Coturnix japonica: one gene and its partner. The protein of the gene in region 1 purifies or fractionates together with the protein of each later gene. This does not show direct contact. Links are inferred from orthologs where the notes say so. Each region holds a gene or a part of one and is shown in the gene's direction. Other genes may lie near its edges.

Region 1 (4,019 bases):
CACAGTGGCTTTCCCATCACTGCTTCCACATGGGGAGGTTCTGTGAAGCAAGGAAGGACATGGATACTTGCTTCCAGGGCTGGGGTTCACACTTGGTCCCATACCTGAGTCTTCATCCAGCACTGGAATTTTCCATGCTGGTCAGTTTCCCTCTATTTTAACTCAAACCTTCTTGAAAATCCTTTTCTCAAGAGAAGTGCTACAGACACGCTAAGTTAATTTGAGTCATTAGGTTGTTTCCATTACTCCTTTCTGCCTAGGAAACTTAATTTTATTATTTTTTTAGTGAGATTTTGGATTGAGAAGAAAGAAGTGGAAGCTGGCTGACATGTGGAACCACTTCACAGGAACACCGGATTTTGAGAGCTTGCGTTTTTATTTACATCTTCTGGACCCTGTCTGACTTGAAAGTAAACAAGTTCAATCCAAGCCCAGATTTATCCCTGAAAATATGCGGAGACTTGTCTAAAAACTGCTTTTAGGATTAGGGACTTCCTTTGCTGTAGAATGAGCGTCTGCGATGGCAATGCTGACACTTAACCAGCGAGCTCCTGCTGCAAAACACCCCTTGAATGTGCGGTTTGGTTGTGTCAAGGATGAAGCAACCTGTGCTGTTTGTTAAGTGTAAAGCAGCTCGAGAACTTAGCAGGTCTACAGGAAGCTTCCTGTGAATGCAGCAGTGTGTGAAGCTGCATTGTGTAGCGGCGGTGCTGGGTGACAGCAAGGTGACAAGCCCTTGACTTGCCCTCTAACAAGCAGCACATCCTTGCACGTTGTTAACCACCTTCTGCTATTCCTTTTCTCTACAGACACAATGAGGCGAGTGGTACGACAGAGCAAATTCCGGCATGTGTTTGGCCAGGCAGTGAAGAACGACCAGTGCTACGATGACATCCGTGTCTCACGGGTCACCTGGGACAGCACCTTCTGCGCCGTCAACCCCTCCTTCGTTGCCATCATCGTGGATGCGAGCGGCGGCGGGGCCTTCCTGGTGCTGCCTTTGCATAAGGTAAGTGCTGCTGGGTTTCTCACTTTTAACATGCTCAGCCTTCCCTTGACACTTCAGTGCCTGTGAAGTCTCTGCTGTGTTGTGACAAACGTTGCTCGGTTGTGCTGTGTAAGAACACATGTAATGCTGCTGGAGTCAGGACGCTTCCTGTGCATTAAATGCAGTAAATAAGTAGTTTGGCTTGACTGATCTAAAACAAATCTTTTATGTCAGAGGTTTCTGAGTTGAACTCGTGCTCCTCTTAAAGCCTCTCCATTTGTGCTAGCTGCAGACAGGCTTTTCTGCCATCAGGATTTGGCTCCATGAGCTTTGAGAGTTGCTAAATTCAGGAATGCTCCCTTCAGACCGGGATGGAGTGGGTGGCACAGCTGGATGCTGCTCCATGCAGCGCGTATGCACAGCCCTTGTGACCATGGTGCTGCTGGTCTGGCTGCTGCTTGTCCTGTCGTTACACTTCTGTTGTATGGTGTGAGACAACAGCTCCAGGGCCATCACAGCACTCTTGCAGCTCACCCAGCCTGTGTGGCTGTGTCTGGGCCCTGATGCTGCAGCCAGGTCTTGCTAGTCCTTAGTACCTGACACAGAGAGAAGCATTGCTTCATCTGAGCCTGTCCCTTGCATTCTCTGTGCCAAATGCTGCTCAGTCTCCAGAAATAATCCCACAGTGAGGCTGTATGTACAATTTACTTCCCTTTCCTTTGAATATTTTTGTAGCTCCTCAGGCCTATGCTTTGTAAAGCACACAGAAAGGATGGGTTGCTGCCCACCAGCTACAAGAATGGCTGCATCAAATAGCTGGAGGAGGCTGTATAGATTGGCATGGAAATCTCCCTGCCAGTCTCATAATGTTACGGTATAAAAGCAAACAGAAGAGCAGGAGCAGCATCTCAGACTGAAAGAAATTCTATAAATTCGTTCTGCCCCCAGGTATCACGTGGAAAAACCACAGTGCATCTTTCATCCTTGCAGAGGAGAGTGCTGCTCTCCTCTCCCTTTTCTGATGTGCTGCTTTTTACCACAGTCAGATTACAAGAATGCTACCCTGCAAATCTTTTGACAGGCTCTTGGCCACCCCAATCCCTTCATGTGTTCGTAGTTAAAAAACAAAAGCAAGAAACATCAAACCTAAATGCATTACTTCATCTGAGTAATTTCTTTCCACAGGAATTTTCTCTCCTTTGAAACTGTACAATATGTAAGAGGGATAACTTGATGGAGGTAGAAGGGAAATAAACGTCCTTAGGAATGATAGAGGATTGTATTGAGAACGTTTCTTGCTCTCCTCAATTCTGCATGTTTGATGCTTCTAAAATCGCATGCCTGGCTTCATTTATGCATTTAGTGTAAATTCTTGCCATGTTAGATAGAGTCAGTAGTCCAATACGGATACAAACTGATTCTAGTACAAACTTAGAGCTGCAGCATTTGGATGGTGTTGCTTTACAGAAGCAGTTAGATTTGGGTTCGTAACCCTTTAGATAAATGGTTCTTTCCAACAGAGAAGCACCAGATCAGGGAGCCTGCTCTGTGCTGTGCTCCAGCAGCTCCTGGTGTTTCCTTGTTCTTTCAAAACCTTCCTATTTCTTGTTTAAGATGGCATTTTGTACTCGTGTGAATGAGGAAAAAAGAAAAGCTACTATTCCTCCTTAGTAACGTTTTGTCTGTGACCCTCGTGCCTCTCTTAGCCGTACTCTTCAAATGTTCTGTCTGTTATCAGCCCTTTTTCTTAGCTCTGTGTGCAGATCTGCCCTGTTATAAATAGCAGTGGTGGCCAGAAGTGAATACAGCGTTCTGATGGGGAGTGCATCACAGGAGCAGACGCGGCGAGTTCTCACTTCTGCCTTGCTAGCTCTAACGAAGCAAGCCAGCCCCCAGGCTCTTACATAGCTCTGCATTTTGCTCATCTCTTTAGCAGCTCTTTGCAGACATTCTGGGTTGTGCTGCCCTGGAGCTGCATGTCCTGCTCCTCCCCAAGCCTGGTGCCAGAGCACAGACCTGGGTTGGAAGCCCCTTGCTCAGTTGCTGTGGCATTGCATGCCTTGCAGCACTGCCCTGCCAGGACAGGCTCCTATTTTCCCCTTGCTATGTGTTATTATTTGGTAGGTTGTTTTTTTTATTTATATATATATATTTTCATTTATTCAGTGATTCCTCCTGCTATCCTTTGGTTTCACTTCTGTCTTCTCAGCCACATTCCAACCCTGTTTTCAAGTTCCCATATGACAAGGTTTGAGGCATGGCTGGTTGCTGAGGGCTGCTGCTCTTAAATCCCTCAGCCTGATGATTTCTTTTGCAGCACAGCACGCTGTGGGCCGTGCTCTATCACTTCCTGCGTTCCTCTTCTATTTCTGCCTCTGTAAGTGATGACACTCGCTCCTTCAGCTCCCTCAACATCTCCCCTCCCCCATTCTGAGTCCATTTAGCACAGGTGTTTGAGTTCCCACAGCAAGGCGCTTGCTGTTATATCCTGGAGATGAAAGCAGTCACTTTTACACCTTGCCTTTGATACGCTTTTAACGTTTAACACCTGATGTAGCTCCAGCCACAGGGAAATCAACCCCCTTCCACTTCCCGGGGCATCACTCTTACAGTCTGACCTCAGGGAGCTGTCAGCACGGCTATAGAGCTGCAGGAGCTCAGCGTAACACCGGGGCTCAGCACTTCACCCCTCCTGGTCTCTCTGTGCTATACAGGCTCTGCCGGCTCCGGACCGCGCACGTGTCACTCCCCCGCCCTTTCCCGCGCCGCGCGCGCGCGTTCCCGCGCCCGCCACAGCGGCACTGCGGCAGCCGCGGCTTTTTGCCTTATATGGTCATGACAGCGCTCGGGACCGCCACGCTGATTGGCTGGGGAGGAGTCGCGGCGCGCCAAGTGCGAGCCGGTTAACCCTTGCGTGACCAGAACCGGGTTCGGTGCCGCCGGGCTGCTTTGTGCAACCGCCTTGTGAATGGGCCTGGAGGGATTCATCATATGGATGAGCCTTCAGACTTGCTGGGAATTGCGATTCCTG
Region 2 (4,780 bases), on another chromosome or scaffold:
GGGCTGGTCCCAGTTCTGCCAGCCTGTACAGAGCTGGCACAGGCAACTCCTACCCACCCACTGCTGAGAAAGAAGCAAAAGTGGGACTGGAAATGCATCATTTCCTGTGCTTTTATACTCCTCAAGGCTTCCACTTTGTCTTGTTAAGGACTTTTCTCAGGCTGACCAGACTCAGAACAGATATCTTCTGTTCCTCCTGGACCCTCCTTTGCCTGCTATACCAAGCAAAGCTCTGCATGCATCAGTAGCCCATTTTCCCTTTCTGTTCTGAGTGCTTCCTGCCTCTGTTCACACAGTCTCTACGCCTGCACATTAGGATGAAGGCAGGTCTCCTGACTGACAAGTTCCTAAGAGCCTATTCAACTCCATACAAGACAGATGCAGTAAAAGCTTCAGCTTTCACTTAGTCATCATACTTTGCTTACCTTCTACACAAAGCCTTGCCCTCTCGCTAAAGCCACAGCAAGTCAATGCATCATGTCCGCCTAAGAGAGGAGACATCCCCTTTAGTATGTCACCTTATATATTATGCCAGATGCAGCAAATTAACCGTTTGCTTTGCAGGGATTGACAGGCTTCAGTATCACTGTTTCCTGGGTGACTTTAATTACACTGTCATTTCTGACTGCAGCTATCAGATTAATCCCTTGGGTTTCCCTAACTAATAGACCAAATCCCTGGTAGATAAAGGCTTACGTAATAGAATCTGCGGGGACGTATATTAATGGGATACGATTAAACTAATAAACATATTTTTTGAGTTCTACTGAATGTTTCAGCTCAGAAAAAAATAGCAAATGCATCATTTGGTTGTTTTTTTTTTTCCCCCTTCAGGTCTCCTAAATAAAGGCCAGTTTATCTCAGAGTGGAGAACACCTCGCTACGTAAGGAAACACAGTGGAAGCGTTCTGTCTGCCTGATCAACAGAGGATTAGAACTGAAACACTTCTCATTCACAGAGCTCAAGTGCTTTATCCACGAGCATAAGCATCATATGGCATGGTACATATCCAGCTCATTACACTCAGATCTGGGAAGGTTAAGCAATGCATCCAGACTTACATGGCAAGTCAAAGAGTAGAGCAGGAGGCAGAGGGTACCTCCTCAATCTGAGCCTTGTACAGTGGGTTCAACAAGATGAGTCACTTCAGATACATGGATCAACTAACATTTCTGGGCAAAGAACTGTCGTTTAAGGCAACTGTTGTATGTATCTGTTACACGTGTCAAGCAACACCATAAGCCCTTCATTTGTATGAATATGAAAACACCACATATTGAAAAACTGAAAATATTAATGCGAAATGTATCTGTATCACAGTGTAGTTCATACCCAGGTACAGCTGCTGCTGCTCCAGAATAACCAGGAAGCTGCTCCATCCCACTGTGCTGGTTCCACCACCACTGTGCTGGTGAACTGCTGTATATTCAGACAGCCCAATGCTTTGCAGCACCCTGACTTGGAAGGGATACACAGCGATCACTGCTCCCAAGGCCGGGCTCCACACAGCACCACCCAACCCCTATGGCTGTGAGCGCTGTCCCTGAGCCCTGGCAGTGCTGCTGTGCCCACTGGGCCGCCTGTTCCATGCCCACCGCCCTGTGGGGCCGCTCCTTCCCCCTGGGGGGCTGCTCCTCCATCCTGTGGAGCTGCTCCTTCATGGCAACGGCGGTGGGCGGGGCGAAGGAGCGCTAGCGCCGCTCCGATTGGCTGGCGGCGGGGCGAAGGAGGTGCTAGCGCCGCTCCGATTGGCTGGCGACGGGGCGCTGACGGCTTCCGGCGGCAGAACGGGCGCGCGGCCCGGCGGCGGCGTCGTGAGGTGACGGTGCGGCGGGCGGGCAGGCGGTCGATCGATCGATCGGTCGGTGGCGGAGGAGGGATGGACACGCTGGGCAGAAAGGTGGTGGTGTGCGACAACGGCACCGGGGTGAGTCCCGCGGGTCGGTGGGAGGGAGAAAAGCCATTCCCCCGGCTCGGCTTCCTGCCGGCACGCCCGGTCCGCCCGCCGCGCCCTGTGCGGCCCAGCGGCGGGGCCTGCGCCAACGGGAGGCGGCCGGGAATGAATGGGCCGCGGGCGGCGCTGAGGTGGTCGGGGCTCGCTGCCACCTTCCTGCCCCTGCGATCCGCCACCTTCCTGCCCCCGCGATTCGTAACGTGGAGGCAGGAAGCGGCTGAGAGCAGCGCGGAGACGGCGGAGCCTGGTGTGTGCTGTGTGCCTCCCCCTGAGGAAAAATAGTTATATGTATATATATATTATATTTATAAAAAAGCGTTTTGAATAAAGAAAAAACCGTTCAAAGCCGAGGACGGAATGGCTGAGACAAAGGATGGCGTTGGTAAGGATCCGGCCTCTTGAATTGCGGAGCGTGCTGTCAAGTGTTTGAAGTGAGGAGAGCAGGGATCTGACAGCGCAGCTCTCACGGCCCCGGTGCCTCCTCGTGTTTCTCCCTACCAGGGAAAACGATCTTGAATAGGGCCGAGGGTCAGCAGGGCACTGCCCACTGTATCGATTAGGATAAGAAAAAGAAGGCCTTCCCCCCTCCCTCCACCCCTCACTCCTTTCCCCACCCCCGTTCTCAGTGCTTAATGCTCTCCTTGTCAGGCTTGGCCCAAGAGGCACATGCCCCAGGAGCCCCCTCCATCCTTCAGTGCTGCCCTCCTGCTGGCAGTGCAGCAGTGAGCTGTGCAGCACTTGGCTGGAGCTGGTGACACAGCGCTGTATTGCTGTACCAGCTGGGTGTAAGTAACACGGTGAGGTGCCTTTGTGCTGCTGTTGGGGGCCTGGAGGAGGGGCCAGTGTCACTTCGGCTTGTGCTGGGTTAGATTGCATTTCCCTCCGAGCAAACAGTGCATGTGTGCAGGTATCAGAGTCAGCTCTGTGCAAGAACGAGGTATCAGGACACGGCTGTTCAATCAGTCAGCTTGAAATATGGAGGTCAATTTAGGATAATTAAACCAGAAAAAAATTGTGTTCTTGGCATTGGAAGGTGTTTGAAACTTCAGCTGGGAATTGAATATGTCAAATTAGGCCTACTTTGTCAAAATGGGATTTTTCACGGTAACTGTTTTCATGTGTGACCTCCTTTATATCAAAAGGATTTCTGATATGCCGTGATATGTCATAATTAACGTGCGAAATTAAGTTTCTAGTCAGGTGCCAGAAATATCACATTAAAAACAGAGACTAGAAAACTCAGCTGCAGCTTTAACTTTAAACTTGTCTGGATGCTGCTTTGAGGAAGAGGCGACTAGAAGGAAGTTCTTCCAACATGTAGTGCAGAATGGAGGCAGGCAATGGCATCTGGGCTGCAGGAGTGTGAGAGGTGGGTGTTCTGTAGGACAAGCAGAAAGTAACTGAGTGGCCTGTAACGTTTCTCTAATAGTATTTAGAGGTTTTGTTTGAGAGTTGCATCAACTGAAGGAATCAAACACTGCTCCCCAGTAAGAATATGACTGTGTTCATTTTAAAGCCTGTCACGTGGTGTCTGGGAGCTTCCTCATTCTTTAGTTCGGAAGAACACTTATACGTTCAAGTTCTTGCTGCTCGATGACTCAGTAGGAAGTGAAAGAGCCCGTGCAAACCACAGTGCAATGGAGAAGAAACTATATATGGTAAAATGGTCACACGGGCAGGCAAATGAAGTAGCTGCTCTTAAAGCATTTTGCATGTGTAGCAGGCACTTGCAAAAAGGAATGATGGTGAACTTTGGCTTCCTTGCCAAGAGGTGTATAAATCCATTGAGTGTTGGTTTTGGTGTTTGAGCCCTGGTGTGCACTGAGTGTTGTACTGAAGTCATTGAGCCATGGTGTGCGCTGAGTGTTGTACTGAAGTCATTGCTCCAAGGGCTGCACAGAGGAGGGATGGCAGAGCAACAACAATGCTGTACTTCAGTTTTAATAGAGGGCTTCACATGACGGTAGAGAGAACACTGAGTATTTCATATTTGGCTCCAGAAGATGATTATATTCCAAACTAGCTTATAACATTCAATCAGATGTTTCAAGAGATCTTTTGAAAGAGAGGATGAGCATCATATGTTTCTTCTTCCAAGACAGTTCAGTTACGTGGATGTGTGTTTGTTGCTTAGGTGCATTTATCTCTTATCACTTATCTCTTGGTAGTTTGACCAAGTGTCCTTCTTCAGCCTTAGAATCTGACATTGCTTCATCACCAGCCTCCTAGCTGAGTGCTCACCGTGGTGGTGGGGGCAGTGCTGTACCCTGAGGACACTCAGCATCTCCCACCAGGGGATACTGGCTACAGGGCTGCCTTCAGTGCTCACTGATGATTCATGTGGCCTGGGGAAACAAGGTGGATTTGAAGGGGAGAAAGGTGGAATGAAAAACTTGCCCCTTCTGTTTGGTTAACCACGTAGAGTTTGTAAAAAAAGGTCATCCTTACAGATTCTTGGTTCTAACCTGAAAGGGAGAGACGGGGTTATTCAATGCAAAATAAAATGAGTGAGATTGAGGTGAATGGCTCAGCTATCAGATCTGTGAATTGCCAGTATCCTACTGTTGTGCAATGACCCAGCAAGGTGTGTCAAGGCCTTAGGGCTTAACTTAGGGACTGAAAGTTACATTTACAGCTGAGAGAGTCAGAACTTAGAACAGTATCTTTGTAGCTCAGCATTTTCTAGTTCAGTTTTCTTGTATGTCTGTGTGTGAATCTGTAAACCTTCACTTACACTCAGCTCAGTCCTTCAGAACGTCTCGAATGTTTCCTGTGGTGTAAAACATTTGGGATTTTGGCATGTCCAGGTAGGTGATCAAAAAACG

What was found.
Region 2: the proteins of CORO1C (region 1) and ACTR2 fractionate together in Homo sapiens (co-fractionation; 3 studies listed by BioGRID and IntAct, with this or other methods). This does not show direct contact. The link is inferred for Coturnix japonica from reciprocal best matches to the Homo sapiens genes CORO1C and ACTR2.

Annotation. Positions count from the first base shown.
Region 1 is NC_029530.1:5,697,206-5,701,224, reverse strand, and holds part of CORO1C (coronin-1C), read left to right. Parts: intron 1-809; coding exon 810-1,009; intron 1,010-4,019. UniProt on the Homo sapiens protein: Plays a role in directed cell migration by regulating the activation and subcellular location of RAC1. Increases the presence of activated RAC1 at the leading edge of migrating cells.
Region 2 is NC_029518.1:1,512,667-1,517,446, reverse strand, and holds the start of ACTR2 (actin-related protein 2), read left to right. Parts: upstream 1-1,766; 5' UTR 1,767-1,880; coding exon 1,881-1,928; intron 1,929-4,780. UniProt on the Homo sapiens protein: ATP-binding component of the Arp2/3 complex, a multiprotein complex that mediates actin polymerization upon stimulation by nucleation-promoting factor (NPF).